2 linked regions of the Arabidopsis thaliana genome follow. The protein of the gene in region 1 purifies or fractionates together with the protein of each later gene. This does not show direct contact. Each region holds a gene or a part of one and is shown on either strand. Other genes may lie near its edges.

Region 1 (8,048 bases):
TGGTGCATTAATTCGTATACAACTTGATTTAAAAAAAAAAACGATTTTTGTATAGATTATATGGGTTAAAATTCATTGTTTTCTGTAAACTCTAAATTAATTTTTGATCAATTTTTTTTGTAAAGATAGTATGAAACGATCATGATTTTCATAGTTACATGCATGCATATGGATGTACACTTGCATGTGGGTACGATTACATACTTGTGTAACTTCCAAAACTAACTTTTGGACATGGATTAATTTGTCAGGAGCAATAGACCAAACTAAACGACCGATGGAGTTCTACAATTTTCTTCAAGTAAACACGGATTCGAAGATACACGAATTGATAGATAATTCAAGAAAAGACGAAGAAGAAGATGTCGATCAAAACAACCGAATTCCTAACGAGAATTGTGTTCCATTTTTCGACTTTTTGTCTGTTGGAAACTCTGCCTCTCAGGGTTTATGTTAATTTGTCCGTACCACATGTACTATAAGGTGGACCATATGTTAATTAAAGATAATGTAGAAAGTACTAATCAATTAGAGCTCTTGTTTGAGCCAAATGTGAAAATTAGTTAAGCCATCCCAAACATGTTCTTGTATAACAAATATAAGGTTGTACTTTTCCACCTTTATCAGGTCTAATTTTCTATTTTTATTTTAAGGATGTTTAATCAGACTCATCACCATTCGGTATTTTTTTTTCTTCATATTTACAGAAATTCAATCAGACCAATCGATAAAAAGGATTGAGCAGAAGTTAATTTATTTTAAAACATTATTAAGTTTAAAGGTTTGTCATGAAACCAATCTTAAACTGAAATTCTGAAGTAAAACCAAAAATTTATTCCAAACTGGCCTAGTTTCACTTTATACTCATTTTGGCTATGGACTATGGTATATATTGTCTAAATTACAAGATGCGTATGTACTGAGAAAATTCTGTGTCCTGAATCCGGATTAATCTATAAATTATCGTAATAGAAGGACTTGAGAGTTGAGACCAAGATTTTATATTTTGTGGAATTTAATTTGCAATCGTCGGATATAATTTTTGTGTTGTTGCGTTCTTAAGGAAGATCAAATATTATAAGGTTTGATTATTAACCGAAGAAAATATGTCATTGGTGCCTAAATATATGTACCACCAAATGAACATCCTTTTAATACAGTACTACTTAATTATAATTTCATGCAGACTATTTTGACTCATATAACTTGTGATGATGATATCAAAAAAAGAAAAAGTTTTTTTTTTTTTTAAACTAGTGGTTTTATTTATGAGAGCCTTTTAACTTCTAAAATAAAGTTTGGTTTAGTTTCTTTAATTGTGTGAAGAATAATAATAAGTTAATAACGGAAAGACGAAATCGAGGTTGGAGTATAGATATGATTAAGTTGGGAGTAGTTATCAGCCACCAAGAAATACAATCAAAAGTAGCAATCTACCTTTGTCTAGCTTAAGAAAACACGAATAAAATAGTTCGTTTTATTTAGGTGGAGATGAAGAACACACATCTTGACACGACTTATAACCATACAATTCTCCATCCGAAATTAATATATGAATTTATATCATCGAGTTTTCTTTTTCTTTTCAATTTACTTTTTTCTGAAACTGATGTCATTATGATTGCTAGGGTTTCCTCGTTGAGTTAGATATGTATGTCACCTTGATTATTATTGTTTAAGACAATACGAAAGAACAACCCAAAAAGATAAGCATAACTGTATATACATATTTTATTATGGAAGATAATGAAACGAAACGTTGATCATTGTACAAAGATGTTGAATTAATCAAATTTTGGATAAGATTAAGACACCCACTAGAACAAGAATGTATTAATTTCTGATTGGATGTGTGTATATATTTCCTAGAATCACTTCATATGAAAATAATGACGCGAATCGTTGAATATTTTTCAGTGGTGACTAGTTGATTAATTGTTCAAAATAGTTGAAATTTATCAGATATAGATATGATAAAAGATCAAAATAGTGATAAGACTTTAGAGAGCGAGCATACAGAGTCAATAAAGTGCCGATAGATGCAAATGCAGATAGGATTAAGACTTGTTTTTACTTATAGCATCTTTTAAAAACACTCAGACAAGTTTGTGAAAATAAAATGATTATTCAACTGAAAATTTTCATTAGTGGTGTTAAAAAATCAATTATGAGATCATAACATCTTTCGTTGGCTTTGAATTAAACTTGAATTCAAAGAAAACATTGCGTCTTAATCCAAAAATAACACTGTCCCAAAAGTCGAGATTTTATTTTGATAATTGGTTGATTATACTTCAATAGTACATTTTATTCCAAAATGTGTCTTGGTACAATGAAAAAGACCATTATAAAAGAAATACATTCATCATCAACAGAAAAATGAAATTTTAAACCATAAACATCGGATCTCAGAGGAAGTTGACTGTCTTGAACTTGAATTCATCAAGCAAACTTTCGATGCTCATCTCTGGCAAGTCTTTACGGCCTTCAGGGTCCTCTCTGAGCCGAACTGTCACCTGAAAATGTTACAGTCCCAACAAAACAAAAAGATCAATCAATGTTTGAGAAGCTCGATGGTCAAAGAGATATGAATCATGAGAAAAAAGTGAGACACTCAACCTGTCCAGTTGCAACCTCTTTTTGACCTACGACCAGTATGTAGTTGTATGGTGCATCCCGAGCATCTGCCACCTACAAACACAACAAAATCATCACACTCGTGAACACATATAACTATGCATTTTCTTTGCAATTTCTATATATACATTCATATCTACCAAGAAAAAACGACTTTATTTTATAATGAAATTTAGACAACTAGCCTTTACGAGATAAAAATTTATGGCCTTAAATAATCTCACTTGTATAATATGCTCAAAGACCTAAACATTTGGAAAGCTTGTAATCATAAGAATTTACCTTTTTACGGAGGCTTCTGTCACTTTCATCAATATCAACATAGTACCCGACTTCATTAATCTGTTTTTGTACCTGTTTGAATGTACGTGCAAAGGAAACAAAAAGCTTAGAGATTAGGCACTGCAAGAATTGCAGGTGTGAGGGTTCATAAATAAAGAATGTAAGAAAACCTGTTTGGCATAGGAACTACAATCCTCTGAAAGAGAGCAAACTATGGCCTGGCGGGGACTAAGCCAGAAGGGCCAAATTCCTTTGTAATGTTCCAACAATATGGCAAACATACGCTCAATAGATCCCAACACCGCACTATGTATCATCACAGGTGCCTCCATTTCGTTTTTTTCACTTAGGTATTTCAGTTTGAAGCAAGCCGGAAGTTGAAAATCAAGCTGGTACGAAGCAAATAAGGATCAAAATCTTATTGTAAGAGATCAAGAACAAAAAACAGAGGAAAAAACTAAAAAGAGTTTGGGAGCCTAACCTGTATAGTAGCACACTGGAATTTCCTATTCCTGGCATCAGACACTGTTATGTCTATCTTTGGGCCATAAAATGCACCGTCTCCTTCCTTTATCTTCAGAAAACATCACACTTTAGAATCTCTCTATGAATTATAAAGTTTTGAGTAGAAGCATCAGAAAGTAGTGACACATACAACCCATGGCTTTCCAAAATCATCTAGAGCTTTTTCAAGATCATTTTCAGCTTTAGCCCATGTTTCCAAATCTCCAATGTGATCCTTTGGCCTCTGAAGTCGAAACCAACATGCAAACAATGAGATACGTGACCATACCATGCAAAGTATATTAGGTTTGGCAGAGAAGAAATGTGAAAATATCCTACCGTTGAAAGCGTTAGTTCATAGGTAAACCCAAATATTCTGTAAACATAGTCAATGAAATCCAACACACCCTTCACTTCTTCCTCAACCTGCAAATAGATAAGAATATTTCTATAAAATAAGAAACTGGGAGGATAAGGAGCTCCAACGTTGCTGCATAAGAAACAAATATCACAAACCTGATCCACTCTACAGAATATGTGTGCATCATCCTGAAAACAAGTATGCACAATGTTATTTAATTAAGCAACACGCGCACAAAAGGGTTAAAATCAAATTGACAAACTACTAAGTAAAGTAAAGTAAAGGGGTAACTTCTTCACTTCAACATGGCAAATAAGCTGCTTAACTAATCATGATATCATTTTGAATGTCGCTAGTCTTTATATAAAGCAATCAATTTTTAAGTTTTAAACATTTTACCACAAGAAAAGTCCAGAAAGATGCAAACATACCTGTACAAACCGTCGGACACGGGTCATTCCACCAAGTGCTCCACTGTCCTCATTTCGGTGTAACACTCCAAATTCGGCCATTCTAATGGGTAATTCTACATTCCATACCGCAAAACAAAAAAGATGTCAGCAAAAGATATATATGCAACACTTGCTTCGATGTTTGGAAAATGATTGTCGTTTAATCCCAGCTCGCCATAATAAAGTGAATCGTAATAGAAGCCCTGCAATAACAATTACCATCAGAGATAGCCCGTCTTTGCAACATTACAGATGAAATACCAAGAACCAAACAATATTGACTCCTCCTTTTTTTACTCTTTTAGCCAAAGAAACATAATTAAGGGGAAAAAACACAGAACAAAGCTCTTACTTCATCTCTGGGTTCGCAGGGTCCAATACATAGCTTGCATCCATACTCCTGCTCGAGAGCCTGGCCTAGAATGTGGGCGCTAGAATGCCAGAAAGTATTACGGCCTTGGTCGCTGTCAAATCCGAAAATCTCTAAGGAACAATCACCTTCCAGGGGCCTATTCATGTCCCACAAGACATGATTAACCGAAGAAACCAGAGCAGATTTTGCTAAACCCTTAGAAATCTGCACTGCGATGTCCATTGGAGAGGTCTCCCATCTCCTTCCTTCTTTCTCGATACCGTCGGGGAGAAGAGTAATCCTAAGCAGTGAAACAAAAACCAGAAATCAACTAATTGCAAAACCCTAGCTTAGCAAACAAATTGATGCACCCTAGTGAAAATGATGAACAATTAATCATAAACGTATTTACTTGATTGGATCGTGTGGCCGAGATTGAAGCTGCTCAAGCTGCTCGGCTTGGATTTCCTCGAAGAGCCTGATACGCTTGGGGATGACGGATGAGAGATAAGCCTCATCCTTGGGATGATGATTATTCGCCATCGATGGATGAGCAGAGAACGAAGGACAAATAGAAACTATAGAATATAGAAGATGACGTTGAGAGCAGAGGAGTAGATTATCCCAAGGTCAACTTCCCTTTTATAGCTACAACACTAAAGTGACTTGCGGGCCAAGCTTTAGAGCTTTTCCTTTCATTTTTTGTAATAAGGTAATAACAACAAGTGGCAGATGCACCTAACTTTACATAATTTCCTTTTGTATTTAAATAATTTTCTACAATATTTATAATTTCTTTTCAATTGAATTGTAGTTTTGTTGATAAAATGCAAATTAAAAGTATATGTATATAACCTATTTTGGCGTGACTTTCTTTGATTTAATGTTTCACATTTATATTTGTTGCATTCTCAATAATATCCAAATGACCATTATTAGGCCTATTAATGTGGAAGCTATAAAATCAGTTTGAAGTGGGCTTATTATTTGTAGTTTTGGGCTCTTAAAAGCCTATTAATGATGAAGCTAGAATCAGTTTTGCAACGTTCTCGGATGGTTTCGTGTTACAAAAATGTAGTCGGGTTCGATTTGGTTGAACCGGGTCTGGTAGACAATAATGTAATATTGGAAAGGAAAACGGTTCAGGCTTCGTGGCGATGAGCATCAACCATCAAGGCTTTGCTGGATGTCTTCAAAGCTCAAGAGTGCCAACTTTATGTATACGAGGATTGTTCAAATATTAAAACCAACCAAAGAAGTGGTCTTTTGATGTTTAAGCTTATCGTAGGATGTTTCAGCTGGACTTTGTGTCTCTTCTTTATCTCTACCAAAATAATATCTAATCACTCTCTCTCTTTTTATTTATTTAACAAGATTGTTTCGACTTAAAAGAGTCATGTAGTGACTGACACCTTTCCTATTTTTACAAGCAAGCATCATTTTAAAAATTTTAAAATTTACTTTTCTGGAATAGAAAAACCAAAAATAAGCAAAATCATTAAACTAAATTGCCCAAAAAAAGTTAAAAACCCAGAGAAATACTCAAATTAACCTAAACAATATCTCTTATAAAATCATTATTTCTAATTTGGTAGTATTCACAAAAGATATGCATGAGCTGATTTTGTTTGGAATCTCATACTAATGGTTGCATGTAAAAACAAAAACTAAAAAATCTTTAATAGTATTATATAGGAAAAGCTATAATCATTATACAAAAACTGTATCATCATCATCATCAAGCTTGAAATCACTCTCTTTCATCCTTCCCCGCGCACTGTGTCTCGCTCTCTCTCTCCCACATTTCCATTATCTCCTTTACTTTCTTTCTTTGAGAATGTCTTCTACAACAATCGGCGAGCACATCAGACTCCGACGAGCTAGAAACCAAACAATCCGTCATCTCCACGCCGCCGACGATGATCCGCCGCTAAGCCACGTCGTTCTTCCGATTTCACAACCTAATCGCTTCTGTAACTCCGCAATGTCTTCCTTCTTTCCCCTCCCGACTTCCTCCTCCAACGAAAGCACGAGGAAGAAACCGTACCAAACGTCGTCGTTTCGAGGGATGGGTTGCTATGCCGCAGCAGCAGCAGCAGCTCAAGAGGTTTCTGTTCCCTCCGTCATTCGCTACTCCGCGGATTTGGATGCCAGAATTAGAAAAGATAAGAAGAAGAAGAAGCATAAGCATAAGAAAAAGAAAAAGAAGAATAAAGGAAGCTACGAAGATGGTTCGATTAGGATTTTAAGCGAAGAAGCTAGAGACGTTATTGATGTTTGGTGCAGACCTGGATTAGGCTTCTCCACGGATGCTGTAATTGGTCGATCGGTTGATCCTCCTCGGGGAAGGAATATTCCGTCGTCTCGTCGCAAAATTGATGTGGATAACAACAATTATAATCACACACTGGTAAATTGATCTAAAGTTGGATGATGAATTTAGTGTTATTATGTTATTGACTTTGACTTTGAGGAAATGGTATCGTTTAGGCAGAAACTGTGTGGAGTGGTTGGAGCTCTAGTGGTTGTAGTTAGCTCTATGCCAATTGCTGGGCCATTGTTAGTTTGGTTTGGTTTATTAATATATGTGTTTGGATTCTCGTTTAGACAAATCATAAGGGTCTACTTTAGATGTAGCGGTTCTCTATTATTAGTTTTTGTTTCATGTGAGGATAATATAGAAAATTTCTTTGTTTGACGTGCGGGTGGTTCTTTTGGGTTTGATGCTCAATAAACTAATCGAACTCTGGTTTGGTTAGAGAATGGAATCTTATCATGCTTTTGTCTCGTTTAGCTAGAGGATGGAATCTTAGCATTGTTTAAGTTTCTTTTTGGTTGGATTCAATTGGTTAGGGGAGTTGTTGGATTTATTTTGATCAAAGAAACGCATTGCTTCAGAGGACTTGAAAATTAGGAATCTATCATCATGTCTAAGTGTTTGAGAAATGATAACACAATGCTACAAATGTTCTGCAGGGTTCTTCTGTTCTTCCCATTCGGTTTCTCAATCAAGAAACTCATTCTCATGATATCTTCAACTCTGATTCTACTTTTGTGACATCATCACGCGCTGAACCAACGATGTTGTCAAGTAGATGTCGTGGCCATCTTCCACGCTCTTACCCTGATGATCTTACCGAGGTAGAATGTTCTTGCCAAATAGTTGCCTTGTCTTTCTTGCATCTGGTAAATGTTATAGATTTGACTTCTTAGTTTATTAACTGATCACACTCAACACTATGTTAAGGTTTGACTTGTCACTTGGCTTCATATCAACTAAGAGATTATTCTAGAGTTGTCTCTTACATATTCTAGTGACTGATAGAGTGGAAGACAAATAATGTAATCGTTCTCTTTGGTGCTGTATGGTGCTGTAAAACTGTTTTGGATGGCTAATAGCAAGTGAGCAAGTTAAAGAACTAAACCATGCAGCTAGTGTAGTCATGTTCCTGCTGTTCAC
Region 2 (8,001 bases), on another chromosome or scaffold:
GACTACAGATCTTATGTTGCTAGACACCTCAAAAAGTTTCTGTTAACCAAGCTCTGAGTGAGAGAGGTTTTTTACCATATTTGATTTGTGTTTGAGTGAGAGAGATATGTTCATTTTTCACTTTTTACAAACCAACAAGTTTAGAGTTACCAAATATTGATTTCTGACTCAAAAATAACTTGGTCTCTGTGAATGTGTGTTGTTTTTGCTGCTGGTTTGGATTAGTGCTCTTGCTATAGCTTTGAAAAGGTCTCGTTATGATGATCTTCACTGAAGTTACACGACTCTATAGCTAGCTTGGAACTATGCTTGAAACAGTTGATTTCATTTGTTGTTTAATCTCAAAACTATATCTATATATACATATATGAAGCTACGGATATTTGAAAACATATACAAAACACTAGGACCAACCTAACAAGTCTTTAGAGAGTCTGTCTCCACTGATCCAACCCTAGCTTCCACTGTTGAGATTCTTCAGAGAGAGTCTGTCTCCACTGATCCAACCCTAGCTTCCACTGTTGAGATTCTTCAGAGAGAGTCTGTCTCCACAGATTCAATGTCCGGAGCATTTCTGGTTCTGCGCTGTAATCCCCAGTAAAAGACAATAATGTGTGGCTGCTTTGTAATAGGTTTCTCTTAGTTCCCAGTTTCCACAATACATAGATATCTTCCCAGATTTCTCCAACCAACAGGTCTTTGTCACCTTCTTGCTTCTGTTGTTGCTAGCACACTCACCATTCTTAGGCAGCTGAGATGCTTTCAAAACCGATGACTGGATTCTGCCAACTGGTCCCTGGAAGCAGGAAGCTGTTGAGATTCTGCAGAGAGAGTCTGTCTCCACAGATTCAATGTCCGGAGCATTTCTGGTTCTGCGCTGTAATCCCCAGTAAAAGACAATAATGTGTGGCTGCTTTGTAATAGGTTTCTCTTAGTTCCCAGTTTCCACAACACATAGATATCTTCCCAGATTTCTCCAACCAACAGGTCTTTGTCACCTTCTTGCTTCTGTTGTTGCTAGCACACTCACCATTCTTAGGCAGCTGAGATGCTTTCAAAACCGATGACTGGATTCTGCCAACTGGTCCCTGGAAGCAGGAAGCTGTTGAGATTCTGCAGAGAGAGTCTGTCTCCACAGATTCAGTGTCCGGAACATTTATGGTTCTGAGCTGAAATCCCCAGTAAAAGACAATAACATTTGGCTGCTTTGTAATAGGTTTCTTTTAGTTCCCAGTTTCCACAACACATAGATATCTTCTCAGATTCTCCAACAGGTCTTGTCACCTTTGTAATAGGTTTCTTTTAGTTCCCAGTTTCCACAACACATAGATATCTTACCAGAATCTCCAAGCAACAGGTCTTTGTCACCTTCTTGCTTCTGTTGTTGCTAGCACACTCACAATTCTTAGGTAGCTGAGATGCTTTCAAAACCGATAACTGGATTCTACCAACTGGTCCCAGGAAGCTTCCATTGTTGAGATTCAGTGAGGTGTAATCCCCAGTAAAAGACAATAATGTGTGGCTGCTTTGCTCTGATGGGTTTGGATCACAAAAATGCCATAGACTTCCTGTATTTCAATAACATGTGGAACAAAGCAAAGGCTACAGTCACAGACTATGAGACAGAACACAGAAGATTTCGTATCCCCAAAGAGTTGAACCAAAAGATGGGAAGTGGGTAACTTGATCAGAAGACAACGGAAACGTGACTTAACCCAACCACTGAGATGTTCCTGATTAGCAGCCGAGAGGTGTACATGTGTTTGCATACGGATAGAGCTCAAACAAAATTCTTCATTCTCTGCAGAAGCCTGAGATGTTCTCCACGCAACCTGCATCATCTGTTGCAATTTCCAATAAGCTAGTTAGCCTCTGTGAAGCATTATGTCGAATAGGTGATATGCAACATTTTTGTTCTTGACACTTGGTGACCTCCTCATAGTAATCCGAGCCAATTCCGATGTGGGTTTTTCTTCGTGGTGAATAAAGAACCTATCAATGCCAAAACCAGAGAGTAAATCATCAAAAATTAGGACATGTGATTGTGACTGTAATCGAAATCCAATGGTGAAGAAAACAAGTCCACGATGCTCCTTGAAAGATCGAATTCTCAATCTTCTGTTGTTGGAGAACACAAATCTGTCGCTAAGGTCAAAGCTTTTTCCTCCTCCTTCGATTGCTGTTCTAGACATGATGAATCAGAGTCTGTAATCGTTACTTTCTGTGGCTAGGAGCAGCGAATCCTGACCGTTGGATTGGTTTTTCTTTTTCTTTTTAATGTCCGTGATATTATTGTCTGAAGAAGAAAGAGAGACCAGTTTTGACTTTTGACTTCGAGTAATGAGAAGAAAAAGCACAGTGAGATTGCTGTTCTTGACGTTGAGTCAGAGTCTGTGGCTAGGAGCAGCTTCTTTTGTTTTTTGAATCGACAATGGTTGAGGAATAAACGAAATCCTGACCGTTGGATTTTTTCTTTTCTTTTCTTCTACTTAATAATGTCCGTGATATTATTATTGTCTAAAGGGGAGACCCGAGAAAGAGCGAGACCAGTTTTGACTTTTTGGACATTGTGTGTTTTCGATTCGATCTTTTTTTTCTGAAGGTATGCTTTTGAATTCGATTTTTTTTTTTTTTTCTCGAGATCTTTGCTTCGTGGTGTTTCCTTTGGACTTCGTTTGGTGATATTTCTGGGTTTCGTCTTTTGACGTTTTTTTTTTCTTCTCGATGAAATGTTTACTCAGCTGCCAAATTTCTCTGTTTGATATTGAGTGAGAGAGATTTGTTACTTTTTACAAAATCAACTAGTTTTAGGTTACCAAATTTGGTTTCGGTTTCGATGCTTAAACAATAACTTGGTGTAGTCGGTCTCTGTATGAATGTGTGTGTGTGTTGTTTTTGCTGCTGATTTGGATCTGTGCTTTTGTTATAGCGTTGAAAATGCCTCGTTATGATGACCTTTGAACACGGACTCGTTATATGCTAATTTGGAACTTTGCTTGAAACAGTTGATTTTTATCTGGATTTACATTTGATGTTTTATGCTTTTATCTCAAAACTCTGTATATATGAAGCTACGGATATTTGACCTCTGATATCCTATTTTGAAGTCTCAGCCTTGAGTGCACCACCTGCATGAGGATGTCATGAGATTTTTTTTTTTAGTGGTTTTTGAATCTTGTAACTACTAGTTGTTTTGGAGAAATTATGAGATTGTTCCTAAAATGTTTGGTAGCCCTTGTAATAAAGGTGTCAGCTTTGCTCTTGGGAAATGTTTTCGTTGGTCTTAGATGTTGGTAAATGCATGTTGCAGTTAACAATGCTGGTACTATCAATAAGAACACCAAGATTTGGGAAGTCTCTGCTGAAGATTTTGACAATGTCATCATGGTTAAAGGAGTAGCAAATGTGGCTGCGCCATTTTATCCCTTTGATGTTCCCACGGAAGCAAGAAATTACTGTAAATATGTCTTCTGGATGGTGGAAGATCTGGTGCTGCCCTGGTGAGTTTCATTGTGACTGTAATCCCCTTCATAGCCTGAAACCTCTACTCTGGTGCTGCCCTTGAAGACTTTGCCTTTGTCGTAAGTACTTCCACTTCATAGCCTGAAACCTCTACTCTTTCTTTTCCAGTGTGACTGTGATCCCCATGGATGTCTCTGTCCTTGAGGATCTTATCAGATAGAACACACAAAAAAGGTCTGTTTGGTTCTTGTCTTTTCTGAAGCTATATCCTCAAGGTCTTCTTAAGAAAGGTTTATCTTTTGTGAATTTGATTGTTTTCAACTGCTCATTTTTTTGTTTGTGCAGGTGATGGTTCCTTCTACGTGGCTTGGCACTGGGGAAAATTGGACACTGATGAAGACAATCAGAAAACTACGAAGACGGTCAGTTGATGTTTCACCATAGCTGAGTGTTTCTGTTTGATTTGCTTTTTTCTTCCATTTCTAGAAAATGAGGACATGTGTTTTGTATGGGTTTTCAGGAAAGTTCTCCAAGAGTTAAGGTGTTGGAGTGTTTGGTAATGAAGTAATAGATACAAATATACCTGTCCAAGTATGGAGATACTACTTGCTGACCAACAGGCCTGAAGTAACTGATCGCTGCCTTCTAGGTGTTTCTTCGTTCATCATAGGCATGCATAAACGTGTAAATGTCACCAACACTGGTTTGCTCTGGGGACTCTGCCTTCTAGGTGTCTGACACATTGTTTCCATGGAATGATTTGCAAGCAAAACTGAATGGCGAGTTTCTGAACAACCTAGGCAACTCTGTTAATCGAGCTCTGAGTTTTATAGCAAAGCACATGATAATGCAGGTTGGTTATACTTACTTTCAAATTCAATATTTTTAAGTATTTGGTGTTACCTGTAGATGGCTTTTTAGTTTGGCATATCCAAAAGAAAATATGGGATCTGTTGTATTCTTTTATTCAAACCAGCCAGTTGGTGTGTGCAAGTGAGAGATATTTGAATCGCAGGACATCAGACTATTGTAAAATGTTTGCTTGCGATTTTTGGTTTTCAATCTTTTTTTTGAACAAATAGGTAATTTAAAAACTTGAAAATGATAGAAAGGTGCATCTGGCTTGCAAGAGTCTTTACTATTATGATTATCCTGCTAAAGCTAATGTAACGCTCTCTGATAAGATTCCTCTCTTTGTAAGCTTATATGGACATGGAACGATTAACTGATAGAACATATAAAGATCGTTATACATGTATATGTATATCTGTTCATTCATACACTCTAGTGGATGGTCAAATGTTTGCATTTGGGATAGCATAAATGATCAAATTCTCTTAGAAACAGTTGAGTAATGTTATATGAATCTTGGCGTGGTATGGCTATCTGAGTTTCTGTGCCTGCTTTTTTAGGTTCATAGTAATGTTATATGTTGGGGTCTTAAAGGGTTTATCGATTCTCTTTTCATCGTTGTGTCACATGTATGATTCATCTGGGTCTCTACTTCAAGCAAAGCAAAGACGACGATTCTTCCGGATCCTTTAAAACCAAAGAACTATGGTAAGAGATTTTCCTACTGAAATTGCTTTTAGAAGAACTGCTGCTGGTTTAGTACACCTCTTGTGAGGTCGGTTTGATTGTTTATTTCGAAAATTTTGTTTCTATTTATTTCTAGAATGCCAAGTGTGATTAAAGCTGTCTATTGCATTTTGTAGGTATTTAAGCAGCAAGTAAACCATGGTAGATAACTATGGCAAGACTTGATATTCTATTAGGTAAAATTGTGAAGGCTGAGAAACATCCTAAGGCAAATGCATTGTATGTAGAAGAAATTGATATTGGGGGTGGTGAAATTAATTACCGCTTGAGGAAATGCAGGTTTGTCCAATCAGTCTAGTCATGTGTTTTCTTCCCAATATCATTATCAGTATGTAATCCCTTCTACATTCCAATTGATCTACTGTTGTTTCTGAACAGAACCGTATGGTTTCTGTTCTTTGTAACTTGAAGCCGGCTACAAATGAGGGATATTGTGTTACAAGCAATGGTTCTTGCAGCTTCCAGTAGTGAGGAAAGCAAGGTAGAGTTCACAGGACAGGAGTATCTGAACTGTTTGTAGTTCCGCTATGTTCATTTCGATTGTATAGCAAATTGTTCTTTGCTGGAAACCCTGAATCTGCTAGTATTGGAAAGCGAGTTACATTCAGCTTTTAGCAACCATACAATTTGAGATTTTAATTCTTTTGTGTCGAACTAATTGATGTTTGTCTTCAATTTTTTTTAACTCTTCTGACTGTAATAACAAAGACAGTTGGTCGGGATATAGGAGAAGACAGGGTGGAGAGAGAGCTGATGGGCTTAATTATCTCTCACAACTTCTAGATGGGCTTTCATAAGTTAAAAGCCCATTATGATTTAGTTGGGCTATCAACGTAAACTGAATTGTGATTAGAAAAAAAAAGGAAAAAGATAAACCGAATAATTATGTATGACGTATATGCCGTTGATTTGGAATACTGTATGCAAATCCTGACCGTTACATGTTTAATAATTATGTATAACGTATGCCCTTGTTTTATCGAACGTTAGATTTTTCCTCTGATAAGAGTGTGCAAGGCACGTGACGACCGAAGAGAAAGTCATGTTGGATATTGTATGTCACATGCATGAGGATCCAGTCGCCATGAGACTGAGATTAGGGAGATTAGATTCTAAGGGATATATATGTGAGCAAAGATTCTAATCTCATTTGTTCTTTTGTTGATTCATTGATTTCTTTTATTTTTCTTTGTTGTTCATTGATACAATTGTTTGATTTGATCGTCGATAACCGATAATAATTAAGAGATATTTGAGTTTTAAAAAGCTTATCACACTCATTTGCCAATTATATTCTAATTGCCGTCAGTTCAATGCAAAGGTAAATACCAAATTGGTTTCATCATGCTAGTGAATAGTGTCGATGGAGAATGTTAACACTGGTTATTGATCAACAGTAAAATACAGATCTAGCTGTTGCTGCATATAAGTTTTAAGTACTTATCTTATTGCATCGTAGGTTTCAGTTTAGTTACGATACTGCTTAGTTTCAACAATTCAATGCTTGAGATTTTGATTGTAATGATTAGTTAGACAGAAATTTATATTATGAATGTGTATTAAAATTTTAGTCTAAAGGCTTGACTAGTAAGTATGTCAGATTAATAAGTGAATTATGAAATTACGTAGTCAATAGAGGGACAACAATTTTAAGCTAAAAGATATTAATTTTGTTTAAAACCGAAAAAAAATATCTATTATTCTATTGATGAATGGAATTTTTAAATTTTGGTTTAATTTTAAAACGTGCATGGTAAACTGAAAATTCACTTGGTACGTATTTTTTACGTACTATTATTTAACACAAGTTTTAAGAAAATGTATGTATTTAGCGGAATCACATTTTCAAAACGTAGAAAACTGCATAACATTCAAGGCTAAATAACACAATACAATGTAGTATTTTTAGCAATTGCTTTGTTTGAGCAAAATGGAGACATTATTGTTGCGAGAAAGTGTTTCAACCATGTCAAACAGCTCTTCTTCAAACCATGGTGCATCACCATTAAAGTAGATGCCTCCCAACCAAACAACCATCCTCTCTAGCGTCTTTGCGTTTCTCAGCACCAAATCCATAAACGAAGCCACGAGTTTCAACGTTGCATCATTACAACCCAACATCTTGTAGATCTCCTTTGAGGTAGGAAACACCTCACATGTTGATCTCCAACATTGATCCGGATATAAACCTTTTAAATGATGCATTTTCTGTAGAACATAAAAAATTATCCTATAGAGAATAAGCTCATCTCCAATATATTTTTCAATTAGAGTAACTCAAAAATATAGTAGAGTTTTTTTTTTTTCTTCAATGTACCACTCTATTTTTTTATTTTTATTTTAAAGTGCAAAAAATAGAGTTACTCTAAATGTAAAGCAAACATATATTTTACTCTATTTTAGAATGGAGTTGTAAAGAATTTTGCTATGTAATAAAGTTTAGGGAAAAAGTAGAGTAGACTTGGAGATATACCCTTGGTAAAAATATCAATCCTATATCCCAACGAAAGTGAAAGACATGTGGTTCATGGAATGTTCCTAGTGCGTTATTAGTATGCATGGTCTTATATATAAATCGACAAGGAAATAAAAGAGGTAAAAATACCATTATGTCGTGGCTTAGCTGCAATGTGTGTAATGTTAGAGCATCTCCATTGGTGCATCTTAGCCCATATCTTAGCTTAGTATCTTAGGTGTAAACATTTAAAATTAAATCAAAAATGATTAGAATGCTAAGAAGTGAATCTTAGTTAAGATGTTTTATGTGTGTTAAGAAGTGTAGACATGTTGCAATATGAGTGGTTGAAAGTAAAGACAAAACCAAACAAAAGTAAAAATTCACCTCTGTGTATTTAGCTAAGATACCAAAAAGACAAAACTTATATTCTTAACCATTGGATGTAATACATGCTAAGATACTTTCTTATTTTCTTAACTCAC

Evidence for each region. Proteins that work in one complex are often made in the same cells at the same time.
Region 2: the proteins of AT1G17960 (region 1) and AT5G02680 fractionate together in Arabidopsis thaliana (co-fractionation; one large-scale study listed by BioGRID). This does not show direct contact.

What each region holds. Positions count from the first base shown.
Region 1 is NC_003070.9:6,178,607-6,186,654, forward strand, and holds AT1G17960 (Threonyl-tRNA synthetase), read right to left. Parts: upstream 5,201-8,048; 5' UTR 5,132-5,200; coding exon 5,001-5,131; intron 4,890-5,000; coding exon 4,589-4,889; intron 4,440-4,588; coding exon 4,367-4,439; intron 4,311-4,366; coding exon 4,216-4,310; intron 3,973-4,215; coding exon 3,940-3,972; intron 3,850-3,939; coding exon 3,763-3,849; intron 3,668-3,762; coding exon 3,575-3,667; intron 3,494-3,574; coding exon 3,401-3,493; intron 3,309-3,400; coding exon 3,090-3,308; intron 2,992-3,089; coding exon 2,920-2,991; intron 2,692-2,919; coding exon 2,620-2,691; intron 2,517-2,619; coding exon 2,409-2,516; 3' UTR 2,259-2,408; downstream 1-2,258. Other genes in the region: MYB52 (myb domain protein 52), read left to right, coding at 252-457; AT1G17970 (RING/U-box superfamily protein), read left to right, coding at 6,426-6,998, 7,565-7,729.
Region 2 is NC_003076.8:602,415-610,415, forward strand, and holds AT5G02680 (methionine-tRNA ligase), read left to right. Parts: upstream 1-2,503; 5' UTR 2,504-2,602; intron 2,603-3,310; 5' UTR 3,311-3,500; intron 3,501-3,630; 5' UTR 3,631-3,650; coding exon 3,651-3,696; intron 3,697-3,807; coding exon 3,808-3,884; intron 3,885-3,982; coding exon 3,983-4,018; intron 4,019-4,192; coding exon 4,193-4,315; intron 4,316-4,775; exon of another isoform or gene 4,776-4,884; coding exon of another isoform or gene 4,885-5,007; exon of another isoform or gene 5,008-5,022; intron 5,023-5,177; exon of another isoform or gene 5,178-5,251; coding exon 5,252-5,340; intron 5,341-5,439; coding exon 5,440-5,470; 3' UTR 5,471-5,779; downstream 5,780-8,001. Other genes in the region: AT5G02660 (ubiquitin carboxyl-terminal hydrolase-like protein, putative (DUF627 and DUF629)), read left to right, coding at 1-57; AT5G02670 (uncharacterized protein), read right to left, coding at 557-877, 999-1,169, 1,339-1,568, 1,706-1,832, 1,923-2,192; AT5G02690 (uncharacterized protein), read left to right, coding at 4,885-5,007; AT5G02700 (F-box/RNI-like superfamily protein), read right to left, coding at 6,967-7,269.